Notamacropus eugenii: one gene and its partner. The protein of the gene in region 1 purifies or fractionates together with the protein of each later gene. This does not show direct contact. Links are inferred from orthologs where the notes say so. Each region holds a gene or a part of one and is shown on either strand. Other genes may lie near its edges.

Evidence for each region. Proteins that work in one complex are often made in the same cells at the same time.
Region 2: the proteins of MOB2 (region 1) and STK38L purify together in Homo sapiens (affinity purification with mass spectrometry; 9 studies listed by BioGRID and IntAct, counting the BioPlex papers as one, with this or other methods). This does not show direct contact. The link is inferred for Notamacropus eugenii from reciprocal best matches to the Homo sapiens genes MOB2 and STK38L.

Annotation. Positions count from the first base shown.
Region 1 is NC_092873.1:26,426,624-26,437,064, reverse strand, and holds the start of MOB2 (MOB kinase activator 2), read right to left. Parts: upstream 4,615-10,441; 5' UTR 4,524-4,614; intron 3,180-4,523; 5' UTR 3,103-3,179; coding exon 2,993-3,102; intron 1-2,992. UniProt on the Homo sapiens protein: Stimulates the autophosphorylation and kinase activity of STK38 and STK38L.
Region 2 is NC_092874.1:178,338,836-178,349,723, forward strand, and holds the start of STK38L (serine/threonine-protein kinase 38-like), read right to left. Parts: upstream 4,688-10,888; 5' UTR 4,451-4,687; intron 1-4,450. UniProt on the Homo sapiens protein: Involved in the regulation of structural processes in differentiating and mature neuronal cells.

The DNA of each region.
Region 1 (10,441 bases):
TGGGTGAAGAATGGCTATCATCCAGATTATGAAACAGAACACTTGTCAGTCGGGCATCAGGCTCAAAACTGACTGGCAGGAGAAGGTGACAGACTGACTGATCACCTTCAGTAAATTTCGAGGCTGCTTCAATGACCACCACAACAAAATAAGAGCATCCTTTTAGCCAATCTGCTGCCAGTGGGGCTACATGACTGTGAGACAGAACACACGAGTGTCTGCAGAATGGAGAATGAGGATCATGTTGAACATAACCTAGCAGCTTTTGGTAGGTAACGGGCTGCTCATGTAACAAAAAGGAATGGTCAGGAAAGAAGATGGACTGGTCATGAGAGAAAATGAGAGGGGCTTGGGACTATCATGTCCTGTGGGAAAGTAACCTAAGAAGGTGGAACCTCTATCACTGCACGGCCCCTCCATACCAGGAGGTCCCAGTGCTATCAGAGTGTTTTCTGTCTTGGAGGAGGCAGCCAGACCACATCAGCAGCACAGTGACTGCTGCTGGGTTTGCAGTCAAGCAATTTTGACTTTCTTCAGACTTAGGGCTAAGGCTGTCTCACAGCAGGACTTCCCCAAGGTGCTGAAGTCTCAGGCCCTCCCCCAGGGGAATGGAGAGTCAACCAGCCCCAAAGGTGACCAAGATGGTGACGGACTTCTCAATGGTATGAGCCATCTAAGGCTTGGCTGGGGACACCTGGGCTGTTCAGCCAGAAGCCCTTATAGGGCTGGGAGAGCTTTTCCTGTATCTCTCCAGAAGGGTCGGGCTCATTCTGCATCACCTCATACAGGGAGAGCCGGGAGTAACATTGGGAATGACAGAGAAGCAGATTTCAGGCCCTTCAAGGACCACTCTCCAGACATGGAAGGGAGGACCACGAGAGCTGCACCTCAGCCCTCACCCCATCCCACAAAGGAGATTGTGGTAGCCCTCTCTGAGGTGTCTCCCTTTGGGGCTGGAGGGAGAGCAGCTCTGCAGCCAGAGCCCTGGCTAATCCAGGGGTAGAGGAACAGAAGAGGCCAGGGGAGGCAAAGCCAGAGAACAATCCCCACCCCTGGTTTGTAGCACTTCTGAGGCACCCTCTGGGATCAAAGAACTGAAAAGCCCAAGAAAAATACAATGATTGTGGTCCATACTAAGTCATCCTCTGCTTGGAGATGGCTGGAAAGGGAGAAGGGGTCACAGGGAAAGCAGATGAACTGGCCACAGCACCATCTCCTTCACACACGTGCCTGTTCACACAAGCACGCACACATACACACACACACACACGCCACATTAATGCTCACAAAAAAGCACATGTGAGTGTGCACACATGCATCTTCTCAGTAACATATAATATGTGTGTACCTCACACATGCAGGCACACGTATGCACACTCACAAATGCACACCTCCAAGAACAAGGTCATGTTAGCAACAACTCTAAGACAACTCTAAGACAAGTGTGAACAGGCTTGGATCCATTTGGTCCCAGTAGGCTCTGTAGGCGGGGGGAGGGGGAGGCTTTGGATTCCACCCTCTGGAGCTCTGGCCAGCATCACTAGCCCTGAGCCACCGGGGCCCTAAACCAACCTCTTCACGCAGGCAGGGGAGAAACCACCAGCAAGAAGGCAGAGCCGGCAGTAGGGGGACCCGCCCTCCAACACAACCGGCAGTGGGCGCGGGTTGAGTCACCCCGAGGAATTGAGTTTTCCCAAAGCACAGCTTACAGCACAGGTAACAAAGGCTCTGGCTGTGCCAGGGCTTCCTTCACAAGAAGGGGAAACATCAGAGAAAGGGCAGAACCCAAAGGAAGGGCAATGACCCACCCTGGGTTCCGTCTCCTCAAAGGGGCCCAGCCAAAACAGACTCCAGGGGCCACTCTGGACTACAGTGGGGTAGGGGGGTCTCCTGGCTGTAGGACATGCTTCCCATCAGCACGAGATGACCCAATCAGGTTTTGGGGGGCTCTGCTAAGACAGAGTCTGGGAAGTGCCTAGGGGCTCCAAGGGAAGAGAGCATAATAAGCATGGCCACCCTGCTTTCCTTCAGCTTGTGAGGGAGTCCCTGGGCCACGGCAGACTTTCCTGATGGCCTGGCGCCAATAAGGTTCCCCATCAGAACCCATCCTAGGCGCTCAGAGAGCTCCAGAAGCCACTGAGTCTAAGGGGCTATACCACTAAGTTTCACTGTGTAACCGCCAGCTTTGTGTCCTGATTTCCCTCCAGGATGGCTCTCTCTAAGACGCAGGGAGGGGGCCCCTCCAGCTCAGAGGTACTGCTCTGGTCTAGGGCACTCAGACACACACTCTACACAAACACACAAACACACTGTACACACACACGCTGTACACACCCATAAACACACATACACTTTACACACTCAGTACACACACTCTACACAAACACACAAACACACTGTACACACACACTCTACATTGTCATACACACACACTGTATACACCCATAAACACACATACACTCTACACACTCAGTACACACACATTCTACACACTCATACACATACATACTACACACTCAGTACACACACATTCTACACACACTCATACATACATACACTGTATACAACTCTCAAACATTGTACACAAACACACTTATACACACACACTCTCATACACATACGCACACGCTGTACACACCCATAAACACACATACACTCTACACACTCTGTACACACACATTCTACACACACTCATACATACATACACTGTATACACTCTGTACATACACACTGTACACACTCTCATCCACATCCATTGTACACACACACTCATACACATACACACACGCTGGACACTCTCTCTCTCACACATGGGCAGGGGCACAGGGCACACACACAACCGTCAGCTAAGATTTCAGACAGACATAGGCATGCTGCCTGCCGGGGCTCTTCTGCCCCCCCCCTCCAAAGGAGAGCACACTCCGGGTGCCACTGCCCTTCCCTGCCAGGACAGCCCCTCCAATGGGGTCCCCTCCCCCCAGGGAATTGTTACCTGAGCACTTTGCCCACGGCCTGGAGGACCATCTTGCAGCTCAGGCCAGTTTTGGGGGGCGGGCTGAGCACGGCTCTGTCTCCAGGGTGGTTACAATGGTCTCCAACCATGGTCCAGGCAAAGCCCAGAAGGGGCGAGGGCGTAGGGGCAGAGCGCTGGGCAGGGGCTCCCTCCCTTCTCCGGCAGTCTGAAAACAAGTCCGACCACATTCACCCAGTGCCCGGTGCACTTCGGCCCGCCTGCTCCCCTCCCTCCCGGGCTCAGCCAATGAGAAGGCGGCCAGAGAAAGGCGAAGCCCCGCCCCATAAGACAAACGGCCGCAGCCTTGGCCCATCTGGAGAACGGGCTGGAGCAGGAGCACAAGGGCCCAGTGTGCAGCAGGCAGGCTGCCTACCTGGGAGGGGCGGGCCTGGCAACCCTAGGCTTGCCAGAGCAAAGCCAAGGCGGCCGTCTCCCCGGGCGCGTGCCCTGCCCCAAAGCCCAGCCTGCAGCCCCTCGCTGGGGAGGCAGCCGGCGACGACCACCCAGACCGAAACAGACGAGCGCTGTGCGGTTTGGTCTGGACTTGGGCACACGGCGAGGAGCTCTGCAGCCAACAGCGGACGCCCACGTTCTCCTGCCCGCCTGCCAAGGAGAGCCCGGAGGGGGCAACAGCATCAGGTTGGGGAACCTTCTCAGTACTGCGCTGGGCGTACACACAGCAGGCGCCACAGAGATGCGGGCTGTTACTGCAGAGGCTCCTCCTGGCCTCAGCCTCGGGCCAGGACCGGGACGGGATCGCACTCCCCACACAAGCCAAGTCCTTCTTCCCGCTCCAGTCCTGCCTTCCCCTGCCCCCGCACTGCCCGGCTCCGGCCTTCCCCATGGCCCACCTCAGGACCTCTGCCCCGGGGCCCTTCTGCCTGGAGGGCCTCTCCAGCCAGCTCTCCATTTCCCCTGAACTGGGGATCTCTCCGAATTAGACTGCTCCTTGAAGTCCAGATCTGTCTTTTGTGTGTGTATAAAAGTTTATTAACTGTCTGCAAACATCTGCATCCGTCCCATCCGCAAAGATCCCTAATGAGCTGCAGATCCCTGCAGGCAAAACGAGCTCCAATCAGCACCTCCACTTGCCTGCCCCTCACCTGCTTCTGAACACCTTCCAGTCAGATTTCCTATCCTCCAGTTTCGTTGAAGTCACCCGGGGATCTCTGAATCGCCAAATCCAACTATGGTTCCTGTCCTCCTCAGATCCTCCTCTGCCGGATCATCTCTAAATCCGCTGACTCTCTGACCAAGCTGGCCAGTCCTCAGGCTCTGGTCCAAGTGTCCCCCAAGGCTCTGCTCTGGCTGCTCGTCCCATCTCCTTCAACCCTAACCTCTCTCCTGACTTTAGGCTAACATTTCCTCTATATTCAACTTCAATTTAACATGTCCAAACCAGAACTTACTGTCTTTGCCCCAAATTTTCTCCTCTTTCTAACTGCCCTGTCACTGTACTAGCACCCCAGTCCCAAGGGCCACAATCCAGGGGGCATCCCCTACTCCTCACCCTCTATTCAGTGCCCATTTTCCAATCAGTCTCGAGTCTTGTCATTTCTGCCTTTGGGACTTCTGTCAGCTTCACCCTTTCTCCCCCTGACCTGCCACTCCCAGGGGGCAGGCCCTCATCCCCTCCCATGTGAACCATAGCAACAATAGCCTGGTGCTTGCATCACCAAAGGGGTCTCCAAGTGCAGCTCAGCCCACGTCACAAACCCTAGTCACTCTAATAGGGTCCCATTATCTCCAGGATCAAAAAGAAAATCCTGTTCTTTCCCTTCTCCCAAGCACTCCTCATTGCTCCTCCCACAAGATGCCAATCCTGGGTACTTTCTCTGGCTGTCCTCCATGCCCAGACCACCCTGCCTTCAGGCTTCCCTCTCCTGATCCCCCTTAATGGCTGTACTTTCCCCTGGATTATCTCCCATCTATGATCTATAACTCATTTGTACATAAAGCTATTTGCAGGTTACCTCTTTCATTAGATTGTATGTTCCCTGAGAGAGTAAGTAGTGGTTTGTGGCATTTAGTGAGTGTTCAGTAGGATGCCTAGCCTGTATCAGGGCCCTAACAGAGGCTTACTGATAGACTTCATGTGGAAGATGGATGACGAGGCTGGCCAAGGAGTGGCCTCAGGTCCCTGTGAGCACACAGTCCTTCATTTTTGGAAATCACGGCGATCATTGCTGTCAGCATCTAAAAGCATGACAAGGTCCATCTCAGCCCTTTAAACATCTGGTCAACTTGAAGATTTATGTTTTATTTACTCTGAGCATTTCTGAAAACTTTTCACCAAACTTTTAGGGCAAATTCTCAAATGAGAAAACTTCTGGGAAGTGCTTCACCCAGCACTTGGCACATAGTAGGCACTTAATAACGGTCTGTTCCCTTGTTCACTGCCTTCCATAAAGACTCCAATGGAGCAGGGGTTCTTGGCCACATAGTCCTTTGGCAGCCTAGTTAAGAGGCCTCTGGGGCCCTCCCTAGAGCAGTGAATTAAAGGGTGCATAAAATGTGCAGGCCTGCACTACCGAAACACATCATTCAGTCATTTGGTGATCACGACCAACTCTTTATCACCCCCATTTATGGTTTTCTTGGCAGAGATTCTGAAGGGGTTCACCATTTCCTTCTGCTCCTTTTACAGATGAGGAAACTGTGGCAAACAGAGTGAAGTGACTTGCCCGGAGTCACAGATCTTCCAACTGCAGCCCGGCACTCTATCCACTGAGCCACCAATATTGAAACAGTTATCAAAATATGAAAAGAATCAGCTTGTGGATGGCAGGGTCAGAGCTCCTACCTAAAATGGAAGGAGTGCTTTTTTTTTTTCAGTCAGTTAACAATCGTTTAATACAGAACCGATCACATACCAGGCACCATTATATATTACAGAAATATAAGCAAAGAGAAGGCCAGCCCCACCCTCAAGTGGGGAAGAAGACGTTTATGGGAGGGGCTCATTCATGGATACAAGGGGTGGGAGGAGGAGTCAGCTCAAGGACAGCAAAGAGCAAATGCTTGAAAATGAGAGGATAGGGCCCAAGAGTCAGTGCTGAAGACCCAAAAAGGTGCCAAAGGGACCTTGGCTGGGCACCTCAGTAGGGAGGGCTGGTCCTTGGAAAGGGCACAGAGAGTCTGGGGGGATCTGCAGGAGAAGAGGAGGAGAAGGAACTGGACCCCGCCTTTCCAGCATGACTTGTGCCCAACACTACAGCCCTCCAGGGGGTGAGGGTGAATGTTTGCAAACTGTGATAGTGCTGTCTTAAAAGCAAATATTTAGTGGGACCAAGGACTATAGATCTGCTCTCACAATCCTGACTTTCTAGGATCAAGGCAGGAGTGAAATCCTCTCCCAGACCTTGAGGGGCCCTGGGGAAGGGAAGAAAAGGCAGCCAAGCACTTCCCCTGGCCCCCTTTCCCACCCACTGAGGACACTGGAGCTCCCTTCCTGAAACTAAGGAGACACTTTCTAAGACATCCTCACTGCTGTCCAGAGAGAGAGGGAGGGCTTTGTAAAAACCCTCACCTCAGGTCCCAGCTGCTCACTGCCCTTCCCACTTCCCCAAGGCAGGCTCGGCACACCTTGATGAACTCTGTCCTAGACTTGTAGTCACAGGAGAACACAGCCTTATTTTCACCCAGGCTTCTTTACTGTCTCCTAAGCAAATGCTGCTCAGTGAGAAGGTTCTGGTATAAAGGGGCTGGAACACAGAAGCAAAGCCCTAGGGCTTGCACAGGGGATGAATGAACCAGGACCATGTCCTGCCCAGTGGCCAACCAGGCTGCCCTAATGGCCTGGGCCAGCTCTGAATTCTGCCTGCACTACCCAGTTAGCCAAGGACATGGTGAGCACCCTGGGGCTCTTCTCTCCAATGCCTCCATTGGTATCAGTGTCACAGGGTCCAGGGTCCCAATGTGGTCCCACACAAGAGGGGTGGGGAAGGAGGAGGGGCCTGACAAATCAGTCCAGCAATCAAAAGGCAGTCCCCTCCTAAGGATCATAAGGATTGGGCAATGACAGTCAGGCACTGGGGTCAGAGATGAAAAGACAAACCCTACCTGCTTCCTCAGGATGGCGGCTAAGGGAAGCCACAGTGCACAGGGTGCTGGGTCGGGAGTCATGAAGACCTGAGTTTCAACCCAGTCTCCAACACTTACTAGTTGTAGGGTCCTGGGCAAGTCACTTAACCATTACCTGCCTCAATTTCCTCATCTATAAAATGGGGATACTAATGGTACCACCTGCAAGGGTAGCTGTGAGGATCCAATGAGATAACATTTGTAAAGCACTTAGCATGGTGCCTGCCATCCAGTAATCACTGCCTAAATGCTCATTTCCTCCCCTCCCTGCTTCCCCATGGCAGGGCCAAATGTTCTGAACTGGCCAAACCCCAGACCTGGGCTACCCTGGGGTTCTTGTTGATGATCCAAAGGGCGACAAGGAGGAATGATGCATCTCCTGTGGGAGGCACCGGACGTCAAGGCTGGCCAGCAGCAGCACTGACCTGGCCCATGGCCCCTGAATGCTACTTCAGCATCACCACCACGACATTTACCCAGCACCCTCGTCTGGCTTAGCACTGGGTTTCAGCACATGGGTGACCAGACAGGGCTTAGTCCCCTTGGCTCACTTCTGGGAATCATCCAAGACAGAACCTGTCTACTAGGAGATTTGAAAGTCAGAAGGTTAAAATATCCCCATTCTCTTGCTCCTTCCCCAAACCAAGGCAGTCAAGCTAACTGGCTGTAGCGATGGACACCAGCTTGCTAACACCTGGCTCAATCCCACAGGCTCATTCAACACTCTCTGACCTACCCTCTGACCTCACATGCACACGCAAATGCACGCAGCTTCTGTTTTCACAGCCTTGTGTCAATACTGCCCAGCAAACATAGGTCACACACCCCTGGAGAGGGCCGATCTGTGTGCAGAGGGAGGTGCCTGAATCAACCTTCTCTATTGGAGGAGGCTGGGGCTGGCAGAGGGAGTAGTCCAAGCACAGTGAGCTCCTGGACACAGGATGCTATTGAAGGGGCCCAAGTTCCTTTCCGCAGGGCTGTGGTTCCTCAGTATGATCCAGGAAGAGCAATGTAGATAGCAACAGAGAAAAGGCTATGAATTTACTTCAGGAAAGGAACCAAAGACCCTCCTTCTCTCTTGGCAGATGTCCGAGGGCCCTTCTCCCTTTCCCTGACAGGCCAGCGCCAGGGGCACACCTCAAACTCCTAGGAATGACAATACATTCCCTACAACATGCATCCCTGACTAAAGGAGCATAGTCTTGGTGACACAGGGGTTGAGGTGTCCTCAGACAGGGATGCCATGTCTTTATTTCTCTGAGCTGTTCCATTCCTGCTATGGGAAATGACGGTCACCCTGGAAGGTGTATCCTGGCCTCAGACCAAGCTGGCCAACACACTGACCTGCCTCCGCTGCACTGGCTCCCCAAGTAGGGCACCAAACGGCTACAGAGTCAAAGCCGATAGAATGGCTGAAAATCGCTGGGCCGGTTACAGCCGGTGGCTGACTGCCACCCGGCCCCAAATCCCTGTCACTCAGACAAGGTGCATGGACCACCACATCTGCCAGCCCTTGCTGTCACCTGGTTTAGGAACCACAAGAAGGAGAAATAAAGCCTTTACCTTCTACTTTCAGAGAGCTCAAGCAGAAAGTCACCAAAGCTCTCTGACTAAATTTTTTGACTTTAATTTGTCATTTGGGATGAAGAAAGCCACTGAAATAATAATAACTTTTTTCCAAGTTGATTTCTGAATTGAATGGATGAACACCAGTTGCAGGGAGCAGCCTCAGGGAAGACACGCTCCTGGAAGGTTCCCCTGCAGGAGATGGGGTAGCTGTGGAAGAGCCCTGGCTGGGAGGGACAGGGAGTCAAAAGGAGCTTAGACAGGAGGGCTATTCAGGAGGGAACTGACTGTTTCATGGCAGGATGTACCCTGCTATATCAAGCAGAACCAGAGGGACCCTCCCTGTGATTCCCACCCTACCCACCCCCATTCATTCTGCAGCTAAACAAGGATCAAAATGGCATCAGGAAATTGGAGAGTCTTCCCCAAAAGCCTCTGAGTGGGACCACTGAAGTAGCCAGAATCTCTGCATTGCTCTAAGGTCTAGGACTATCTCTGGTAAAGGCCCTCATCCCCTACAACAGCTTCTTGACCAGACTCCCTGCCTCCAGCTTAGACAGGACTGAGCTGTGTCTTCTGGTTCTGCCAGAAAACACCAAGATCTCTGTCAAATGTAGGAAGTCCATCCCCCTGGGACTTCAGACTGCATTATCCTGCCTGCCCTCATGCAGGCTACATCCCAGCCACAGAAGCTGACTGACTGGCTTCCACAAAGGACATGGGTCTTCACTCATTGGATCAAATGAAATGGGATTCAGAGAAGTTGGTTTTCAACAATAAGAAAGCTGACTAGCTTTCTTATTGCAAACAATGAATGTGGACCCTTGGCAAGCAGTACGCTCAATCCTGAGGGGTTTGGGGTTTTGTTTTGTTTTGGTTGGGGCTGTGTGCGATTAATTTGTAATAAGACTTTTCCAATTTAACTCTCCTCTTTGAACACAATGCAATCAACACCTACTGTGTACCTACTACGCACAAGACATTGGTAATACAAAAAGTAAACAAGCCCCAGTCCTTGCAGCAAGGAGATGACATTCTGCTAGGAAAGGAAAAGGATCAAGAGCTCACTGTGTGCCAAAGCCAAAGGCTGGAGAACACAAATGAAATAGCCCCTGCTGTCTGAGGGCTGGAATTTTAAGACTGAACAGATGTTCAGAAAGGGCTCTATTCACAGAAGAAGAGAGACTGAGGAGTCCTGCTTCAGGTTAGCTGAGAGGCCCCACAGTCCTGAGGGTTCAGTGGGCAGGGGTCTGGGAGGTGTAGATGCAAAGCAGATACCAAGCCCAGAAGCCCTCAGCATCTAATGGAAGGGCAGGTGGTAAGGCTTGGTGGTCCGCCATGTTACTAGAAAGAATGTATTTTCAAATGGAGGGGAAGAGGCAGCTAGGTGGCACAGTGGATAGAGCACTGCCGCTGGAGTCAGGAGGACCTGAGTTCAAATCTCGTCTCAGACACTTACTACCTGTGTGACCCTGGGCAAGTCACTTAACCTAGACTGCCTCCTCCCCCCAAAAGAAAAGTAAAATGGAGGGGAAAATGGGGGGGAAAGGGAGCAGACAATGGCTGAACCTCACCCTCATCTGAACTGGGGGGTGGGGGGGCAGGGTGGTGATAAAAGGATGGATGAATATGGATTCAGGGAGGCCAGAGTGAGAAGCAAAACAGACTTGAGAAAGGAAAGGATGTTTTTAAAAGGAAGAATATAAGAGTATATGATAGTGAGAAGTCTACAGGTAGCAATCCTACGAATGTGATGACAAAATATGGATAAACCTACCA
Region 2 (10,888 bases), on another chromosome or scaffold:
TAGGGCAGAGACTTGAAATTGTCTCAATAGTTTTAAGCCTCTACTTGAGACAGAGTTATTCTTTCTCTTCTCCTCAACCTATGCCATAACACACCAAAGGCAGAGCAGACCAGAACTTCCATCAAATCCTTCACTCCTCAAGCTGATTCTGCTATATGCCCGTTTCCAGAAGATTTATTAAGACAACATAGTATTTCTCTGTATCAGCAAAAACAATGATGAAAACACAATGACATCTAATCGATGACAGAATCTCTTGTCCCCTTCCTAGGGGTGACAGATAATGGAAAAATCTTCCAGACTCTACTTACCTTTAGTTCTTTCTAAAAATAGTATTAATATTTGGAAGTTTCCTGGAGGAAATATGTTTGAGAAGACCTTCCAGTGCAGATCGGTGACTCCCTACGCTCCTAGGAACAACAGATTGATTCATCTACCTATGACTCGGGATTACTTCAGTTCATCGCTGAAAGAACATAGTTCACTACTGTTATAAAAATAACTGATATTTACATAATGATTTGCAAACATTATTTCATTTCTCAGCAACTCAGTGTGATGGGTACTAAAGATATTATCCTCATTTTGTGTAAACTTGGTCTCCCAGAGCTTAAGTGACTAGATTAGTAATCACATCAAAAGTAATGAGATTTGAACAGAAGTTTTCTTGATTCCTAGTTCAGAAGAAAAAAATCACAGTTTCCTACCCACCCACTCCCAATAACAATGTTACAATGTATTATTCCAACACTACAAATAACAAAAAATCTCCTATCCTAAAAGTTTTAGAAGCAATAATAAAATATAAGAATACTTTTTATTCTAGTCTGAAAGGATTTAGAAAAGTTACCAGATATGAAATATAAATTCACTCCTTTTCCTTTACACTTGTTCAGTTCTGAAATTATTCAAAACCCTATCTCAGTTCTTTTTAAAAATTTAGCTATTTGTTTAAATAAGAACTAGGAACAATGATATACACCTATTAAATATACTCTGACTTTAGAGTTCAGCTAAAAAATTCCGAAGATTCAATAGTCTGGCAAATTGTGAGCCACAATAATGAATGCTTTAAGACTGTCATTAGATATAGGCTAGTTAATACCCAAACAAGTCTAATTTCTTGTTTTAAATCCAAATTGGCAACTGTCAGTAAGGATTCTCACCAGTAGAAAGGATTCTATCTGTACCACGAAGGGCGATGTCCAAAATGAATTAACATCTAAAGGTACTTGAAAGATTACTTACTTATCTGGCTTTTCATTGTTTCAAGTTTCTTCCAGGAAAATTATCCTTTTGTTCCTAAATTTAGTTAGAGCAGTACAATGGCACAAACTAACTCCCTGAAACTAGACATAAGATTAATCATTGTGAATTTGACCATCCATTTCATCTGTTATCATCTGACTATCCTGAAACAATTTCATCTGGTCAATTAAAAATCTCTCTTCCCATGAAGACTAATTTTAGGTTTTACAAAGACTAAAGCAAGTACCATGAATCTCAAGCTCAATATTTTTTTAACTTAGAAAAGAAAATAAGACAAAGTAGTAATTCGTATTACATTCTTGAAGTAGTGGTAACACGCATTGCAATTATATTACATTGTATCTAAGGCCTTAAAAGCTAGCTTTGTTATCCATTCACAAAACTCAGCCTATTTAAAACAGCAGTACAGTAACAGTTTCTGAAGATGTTAACTCTAACCAAAACAAAACTGGTCCTTCCCCGCTCATTTTAATGTGATCACCATCACAATTACAATACTGTTTGTCTGATTTATACCTTGTCACAGCAAACAAAAGACTCTTATAAAATAAAATGAAATTTCAGCATTTGATTTTGCATTACTCTTCGTGCTGAAACACTTTACCTAAGGCAAATATCAGAACCGAGTCAATAGTTTAAAAAAAAAACCATAGTTTTCTGAAAAGCACAATTTCTCCTTTGTGCTGAGAACTTGAGACATTCCCCCTTTTCTCTAAAGTAACCTTTCAGCATAAAAAAACTGGCAAGGACAGAAATCCTATGCTTGCACAAATACTCCCAGTCACCTGAGTTTTTATTTGTTCTAACAACAAAAATTACCTATACAATTAACAGCTCCCATTTATATTTGTCTATCACTTTGCTGTACAGTATCTCATTTGACCTTGGCAATGCTCCTGTGAGGTTGGCAGTGCATCCTCATTTTACAGATATGAAAACTGAGGCTTAGTATATTAGTGATTTGGACTGGGTCAAGCCAATTCAACAAATATTTTTATGTACTTGCTACGTACAAGGCACCATGCTAGGCAGGGGGATCCAAAGACAAAAACACATAGACATTCTACTAGGGAGGGGGGAGTAATGAAATAAGTCAGTGCTAAGGTTAAGACTAAACTAGCTCTTCTGTAAAGTACAAATAGCAAGAAAAGACTAACTATTCCTATTTAGCACATAATTTTACGAAGTTCATGGTTTTCATTCTCCAATACCAGGGCAGCTTTCAAAAATTCAAATAAATCAATTCATAAATTATATCTATTTGTTTGGGGTTTTTTTTGAGAGACGATCTAGTGTAGTGGATATAGTGCTGAACTTAGAGTCAGGAAGACCTGTGTTCTAATTCTACTTTAGATACTTTTTGACCATGGGAAAGTCAACTAAGGTTTTTAAGCCTTACTTTTTTCAGCTGCAAAATGTTACGCTAGTACTTCTACTACCAACTTTAAAGGATTGTTGAGAGGATCAGATAATATTTGTAAAGGGCTTTGATAAACTTAAAAGTATTATAAAAATGTCCTTTTTAAAAAAAAATCTCATACCCATCTTAATCGATTTGAAAACTACCATCAGCCATCTTAACTCCTGACCAGAAGAGCAAAAAAAAGGTACTAAATTAAATTAAAAGTTTTATTGGTTACTGCTGTTCTAAATGAATAATGATAAAACAATTCAATCCACTTTTTGAAATGGAATTAGCCATCACCAATCCAAAGGCAGTTATGTCGTTTAAGGCAAATGTTTTACTTTGAACTCACAAGAGGGGCTATTTCACCTACAGGAACTGAGCTACTAAAAAGAAAGGTGGAAAGCTGGCTTTAAGAAGGTATAATAAGCTTAATTGTTGTCTATATCCTGAGGCACAGTAAGAAGAGAATGGTTAGCCAAACACAAAGGGGTTTCCAATGTCATGTATAGTTTTTAGACAAAGAACATTCAAAAAACTGCAGCTGGCTAATAAAACTAAGAATTCCAAAAAGAAGTTTCAAGCAGAGTGACCTGACATGTTAGAGTACAGAAAAAGACACCACTAGAAATCTCTCAGTACATCTTCCACTTTCAAGTTTAGAAAGAAAAAACCCATGAATCAGACATGGAAAAGTGATACACCCAAGCCATTTTCCAATCATTTGTTCCCGTCAACAACTTATCATAAACTATAAGAAACAGGTAAAGATTTGCTTAATGCATCTTTGTGTTTGTAATAAAGTAAACAACAGCATTCTTTTGTACAATCCACTCCCCCTACCCAAACCTTTTATTTTGTTTTAAATGCTCTAAAACACATAATTCATAACAACATTATAAATCAGAGTTTAACATGGCTAACCTGAAGAACACCTGGCTTTTAGAATAGTTTGTCCTACAGACATCAATCTGGCAACTTTTTTAAGATGACATGCTCCCTACACTTCAGGTCCAAGCTTTTCCCCTCCTGCCCCAACCAAAATGCTTCTATCTCTTCCCTTTACTAAGCATAAGAAAAGGGGGAAAAAGGGCTAGAAAGTGCTGTTAAAAAGGAAAGGGTAAAGGGTTCCAGGATCAAGGCGGTGAATTTTTAAGCTAGGTTTTGACATATGTGCTGCTTTTGGGAGCCGGAGGATTTTTTTTTACTGTGGGTCTATCAGTGAAATGTTTAGCAATCTGACGCATCAGTTTTTAGAAATCGTATCAAGCAGCCCCCACAATTGGGAGTTATCCCTAGCACCCTTCCCCTCCATTAAAACAAATAAACAAACAAACAGCTGGGGGGGCAGGGAACCGAGGAGGTTAGAAGGAACTAGTGAGGGGACAGAAAATTGTTTATGTTAGGGACTTGCGGGGAATAGGGAGGATGGAGGCGGGAGGAAGGGAGGCAAGAAGAGAAGCATCAGAGGACAAAGATACCTCCCTTACCCTTCAGGTTACCTCTCCAGGCAGGCAGGAACAATATCAGCCCCGGGGATCTGGAAGGACCATGGCCCTAGCTGCAGCTACATCTTGGCAGGGATGAGCTAGGCTCTCTCCGGGCGCTCCCCCCCGCCCCCCCCCCCAAAATAAAACACAAAGAGAATCTGCTGCTTCTTCTTGCTCTGACCAGAGTTGGGACTAGGACGGGGGGCACGAGAGAGGCAGCGGGGCTGGGGGTGGGGAACAGAGCGGCCGGAGGACTGGGCGAGGTGGGCATCTCTGCGGGACTCACCTCCTTCGCCTCCTTTCGCCTCCTCCTCCTGCTGCTGCCTCCCCTCAGACTGCAGCCGCCTGTGTGTGCGTGCGTGTGTGCGGGTGCTGGTGTTCTTGTGTGTGAGTGTGAGTGTGCGTGTGCCTCACTTCCTCCCCGGCTCCCCCTCCTCCCTCTCCCGCTCCGCCTCCCCGGGAGGTGGGGACTCGGGCGCCGGAGCCTGAATCTCCGAGCTGCCTCCTCGGCACCAACTCTCGCGAGCTGGAGTAGCCCCCTCCCCCCTGAAGTCACCCCCCCAAGCCTTCTTCTGTCTCCTCCCCTCGCCCCCCACGTCTCCCTCCTCGTCCCCCTCCGCTCTGGGGCTGCCAGCCTCTGAATGCGTCTCCCGGCTCTGCACCCACCCGTCACCTGGCTCTCGGGGCCTCCCCTTCCCTCCGCGGCCACCTGGCTGTGCCCGAACCTGAGCGAGGAGCCCCGGGGGGGCGCCGCTCGGCCCACGGGTGCCTTCCCTTTCTCAATCAAAGCAAGTCAACTACTTTCCTGGGTGTCAAGTTCGAGAGAGGCAGACCCTGGTCTGGCTGGAGGTGACGGGGCAGCCGCCGGGACGAGCCAATACACCACGTTCGGTGGCTGGTGGTTTGGTTTTTGTGTGGGTATCTCCAGGGTGGGCTGGGTTGTTTGGGTTTTTTGTAATGTAGAATTTGCGAGCCCAAAGGATGGCTGGAAGGCGGCGAATGGAATTCCTCCTTTGACTTCTGAGGAAACATTTATTGATGAGGCCATAAGGTTTAAAGCCTAAGAGTCTAGGGTTTTAAAATTACATTTTATTTTTTCCCAATTATCAAGCATTTTTTTAATCCTTCTCCCCCCTAGAAAATAAAAAAACTTTGTTACAAGCATAATCAAGCTTAACTAGTCTGATCAATACAATCATCCAGGTCAGTTCCAAAGAACGTGTGATCAAAATGCCATCTACCTCCAGAGAGAATTGATTAACTCTGCGTGCTGATTGAAGCAGTTTCCTTTACTCTATTTTTCTTGCACACACCCCCAATGTGGAAATATGTTTTGCGTGACTTCATATATAATAAGTATTTTTTTCTTGCTTTCTCAGTGGGTTGGGAAGGGGATGGAGAGAATTCAAAAGTAAAAATAATTTTTTTTTTAAATTGGAAAAAAAATCCGAAGCATAGTCAAACAAAACAAGCTCCCATCTTGGCCAAAACTGGGTTTCTGTTTCTAGATATTTAGTCTGTCAACTCTGTAGCAGGAAGTGGGCAGCATTCTTTATATTCTGTCCTTTGGAACTATTGATCATTGCATTGATCAGAGTTCTTAAGTAGAAGACCATGTTTTGACTCATTATGTGACCAGATGTGCCAGGTAAGAGAAGGGAATGAACATTTACGTAATACCTACTATTTGCCAGCAAGTATGCTAGGCCTTTTGTACAAATATTGTCTCATTTGATCTTCACAATATCCCAGCAAGGTAGATCTAACCTCCACAAGTCTCAGTTTCCTTGCCTATAAAATGATAATCTTTTCCTTGCCTACATGGGAGGATTTAATCTATCAAAAAGCATTTATCAAGCACCTTCATTTTATTGTGCCAGGGACTAATTATACAAAGACAAAAATGAGGCAGTCTCTGGCCTTACAAAGCTTACCATTCCAAAGGAGGAAACAGTATACATAAGAAGATAAAAATATATGTCAAAGCAAAAATATAAGCGAAATAAATACAAGGTAATGGGAAAAGAGATCAGGAAAGTCCCTGTGTATAATGAAACTCTTGATCTGAGCTTTGTAAGAAATCCTAAAAGGCTGAGATGAGTAGGCATTGGGGAACCATCCTGCACAAAGATGGAATGTGAAATATGTAAGAAACAAAACAAGGTTAGCTTGACTAGATGTGGAACGGTAGAATTTGTTTTGGGCTAACCAAAAAGAAATAACTCCTAAAGGCTGCTGACCATTCTATCCCTGACCAAGTATTAAAGGTCTTATAAAATACACAATGTGTTAGGAGCAGCATATATTCCAGAAAGGGCAGGCAAAATTTTACGTTAAAAAAAGCAATAAAACCACCGTTGGTATTTAAGGTTCATGACACAGGTTCATCATACACTTCTGACCTGGTAAGGAGAACTGTACAGAAAGGAAGCAATACTGTTGTTCGGTCATTTTTCATGTCCGACTCATTTGGCAAAGACACTGGAGGTTTACTATTTCCTCCTCCAGCTCATTTTACAAATGAGGAAATGAAGATAAATGGAGGTTAAGTAGCTTACCTACAGTCACATAACTCGTATGTGTCTAAGGGCAGATTTGAACTCAGACCTTCCCATCTCCAGACCTAGTGCTCTATCCACTGAACCACCTAGCTGCCTCAGTACTGCATCTTTGCTGAATATACATTCCATGCTATTGTTTAGTAATTTTTTGGTAAGATGTTATATTTAATACCAGTGTTTCATTCAGTTCTAGTACTAATCCTGAAGCAGGCCTGAACCAAAATATATCCCTCTCTCCCCTCCTCCTGAATGTCACAATGTATAAAGGTGTCATTGCCCCCAGAGAACCTCATTCAGAGAGTTCACCTCCAGCACTGAATGAAGGCTAATACAAGACCTTATATGTTTCAGGAGAGGTACAAAAAGAAATAGAAAAGAAATCTTCTGTTCAATGGGTTTTTTCCCCTCTCTCACTTTTGTGCCTTTTCCCTTTTCCCAGTATTGTAGTGTAATGGAAATCTGCCTTCTATCTCCCTGGCAGGATCTCAGGTTCTCAATTCTTCTTGCCATCTTGATTCCACAACAGTATTCCAATCCACTAGGTGCTACCATAAGCATAAGTGGAGGTCCCACTGCTAATAAATAGCAGAAATCTCTTTCCCTTTTCTATACTCTCCAAGAGATGCAAGTGTAAAGGTGAGGGCAAAGTCTTGAGGCCTTCCCTGAGAGCTGGGTTTTCTCCTCCATAATAAACTTTCCTCTTGACTAGCTTAGCCCAATTGCTAATATAGTGGGTTTTTGTTTTTGTTTTTATTTTGCTTTTAAGCTCTAAATTTCTCCTATTTTCCAACAACAGTGAGCAGTGAGAGAAAGATACAAGTGGGGGCAAATCCATTGTTTCTTCCAAACCTCAAACTAGTGTCCTACCCCTTTTATATAGAAATAGAGCCCTCCTTGTTTGTGCCACTAACCTCTTGTGTTTCATCAAGTGTATTTGGATGGATTAATTGATCTGAGTTCCTCAAATAAATATACCCCAAATAAAGCCATTTGTTCTAAGCTGTGATTACACCCTCTTCATCAACACCCTGTTACTAAACTCTGTCCTCCTGTACCCTCTCCGTCTCTGTCTCTGTCTCTGTCTCTCTCTGTCTCTGTCTCTCCCTCTCTCTCTCTGTCTCTCTTTCTCCCTCTCTCTCTCTCTCTGTCTCTGTCTCTGTCTCTCTCTGTCTCTGTCTCTCCCTCTCTCTCTCTGTCTCTCTCTCTGTCTCTCTGTCTCTCTCTCTCTCTCTCTGTCTCTGTCTCTCTCTCTCTGTCTGTCTGTCTCTCTCTCTCTCTCATCAACCAATAATAGTGGGCAAATTAGCGAACCTTCAAGTGTGCATCGAAATGAGAAGAGGTGAAAAGGACCAGTACAATGGATGGACCCTGCAGTTTATAAAGTAAGACCTTTGTACACAAACTCTCCCAACAGGTTTTTGAGGGTGCTTGACCTGGAGATAACAAAGAGCCTTTATTATGCATGCTTAGACAGATGATTATTAATGGGACCATCTGAAATAATTATCACTTTCTAAACTTAGAGAACAAAAGTTGAAAATTATTCCCACAGGTATATGACCGAGTCATTTAACACCTGGATTAATTAGGTACTAAAGCTGTAGGAATTCCAGCACTGGGGGCAAAGTCAGTGAAATACGATGGAAGAGAGAGAAAGGGGCTTCTAAGGTGAAACTGTTTCTGTGCCTTGTTGAAGTAACCTGGAGACTGAAGTCACAGGAGTTAATAGGAGAAACCTAGGAATTATGAAGGAAGAGAGAGTTGCATGAAGGTCCATAGATATCAGCAAAAGATATAAAGAGGGAGGAGTGAATTTTAAAAGAACAGAGATAATTGCTAAGTGGTGGTAGCAGAGTGAGGTTATGCAAGTGTCAGTTTAGAGCAAAAATATTCCAGTTCCTTGAGGCAGCAGGGTATAGTAGATAGAGTACTAGATTTGAAAAGCAGTGGATCCAAGTGCAAATCCTAACTCTCCCACTTAACTGTATGAACATGAGCAAATCACTTTGTTTCTGTGGGCCTCATTTTCCTCATCTGTATTTAATAAGTTATACTTCATAGAGAGCCAGGCTGCTATATTGGCCATTCAGCATTCTAGAGTGCCTTGAGGGTTGGAGTGTCTTTCTTCTGTATTCCATTAACCTGAGCCTCTACTGGCTATATTGTCCCTACCATTAGGTACCAGTGACTATTCTCCTTTCTGTTAGGTACCAATGACTAGTTTCCCAATTCAATTTAAATCCAAAGTTAGCTTTTCTAAACTTAGAGAACAAAAGTTGAAAATTATTCCCACAGGTACATAACAGTCATTTAACACCTGGATTAATTAGGTAAAACTGTAAGAATTCCATAAAAAAAATATTTACTTCAAAAAATCATAAAAACAAATGTACAAACATTTTCCCCCAGCACCTCAAGGACAGACTCTTCCTCTAAGTAAGTATAACCTTAGTGTCTGGGGAAGAGCACACTCAAAATTTAGCTCAGTTCCTTTGTAGCATTGGTCCCATCAACTTCGTGTCCAGATGAAGTATAGCTGTTGCATAAGTCTTCATCTCAGCCTCTGACATGGGTGCAGAAAGTCATTCTCTAAAGTCTTCTCTTTGTCTTGGAGGCATCAACACTCCCCTGGCTGCAAACCGTGACTGGAAGGCCAGCTTGCTGCTGATGCCCCTGATGCCCCTGAAGCCCCCTCCAGATCTTTCTAACTCACAAAGTTGGAGACTCCATTTCCTTCACCTAAAATGGAAAAGAACAAACATAGAGCCAAAAAAGGATAGAAACTGGGAAAGGCTGGGACCAAATTTACGGGGAGGCTTGGGGGATGGCTGCCATACTGTTTTCCCCATGATTGCCATGCTGATATTGCATTATCCCAAGCAATCCTCCAAGACTGGATCCCCAGCCCAATCAGCTTGTGGAAAGGAGGGGGGAAGGAAATCTTCCCCAATGGGAGGGCAGGTCTCAGGAAAGGGATATGATAGCCACGAGACCACTGGGGGTCTGGAGAGAGAGCAAGCATAGAGGAAATGTTGTGTAGGGGAAAAGAAGGAGCACCTGGACTCTGTATGTTAGTGCCTGGACCAATGCTTGCTGCCCTGTTAAGAACAGTTTATGTTGACAAAGCAGTTAGTGGTAGTTCTGAGTGTTACTACAGAACCACCGTTGACCTCTAGCCCTATTCTGCCATTCACTCTTCTTTATGATAGTACCAAATGGGCAGAACACCCATTACCTTGGTAAGATAGACCGGGGAAGGAAAAACTTAGTAAAAGATGTTCAGCTTTGTCTGCTGAGAGCACCACCCACCTGCATGACGAAAAGGTAAAGTTCTAGACACTGATTGCATTACCCTCCCTAAAGCTAAGTACATAATAGGTACTCAAAAACTACTTGATGATTGGAGGAGTTTTATTTATCATGAATGATAAAACCCTACTAAAGAGCTGTTCCAGGGCCTTATCAGGGTGTGAAGGTAACTTAGTGATCCGAAAGTCTTTCAGTTAAGTACAAGTTTTGGCAGGTTCTACCAAGGAGAAAAAAAAAATTTTGAATGCAAACCTAGTACTACCACATATGCATATATATGTGTATATATATATATATATATATGTTGTGAGACTGAAATGAGATGCCATTTATAAAGCACTTAGCACAGTGCCTGGTACATAGTAGATGTTCTGTAAATACTAATTTTAATGATGATCATGGTGGTGATAGCGGTGATGACGACTGATAATGTCTTTTTTCTGAGGAAAAACAATCCGAGTTCGGATAGTCTCGTTGCTTGGTTGACCTCAGGTTGATGAATTTCCAGCAACTTTCAAAGACCATCTACTAAGTAATAGAGAGGTCAAAATTTCCATTTATGGAGGAGCATCCATATGAATAAAATTACAACTCTAAGAAGTATAAACAATGATGGGCAGAGTTATAACTTGCCTTGGGGCATACAATATGGAGGTTAATTTTCAAAAACAAATTCAATGGGAGGGAGTGACCATCAGTCAAAAATTTTAGACCTCAGGACATTATTCTGTAGAAAAGAGATATAAACCCTGGGATACTTCTAGATCGGTACTGAAGAGGTTGTTACTGAAAGGAGAAAGATGGGCTGGATTCAGGAGTAACTTGCCTGGGATAAGGTATCACCTGGTACCTTC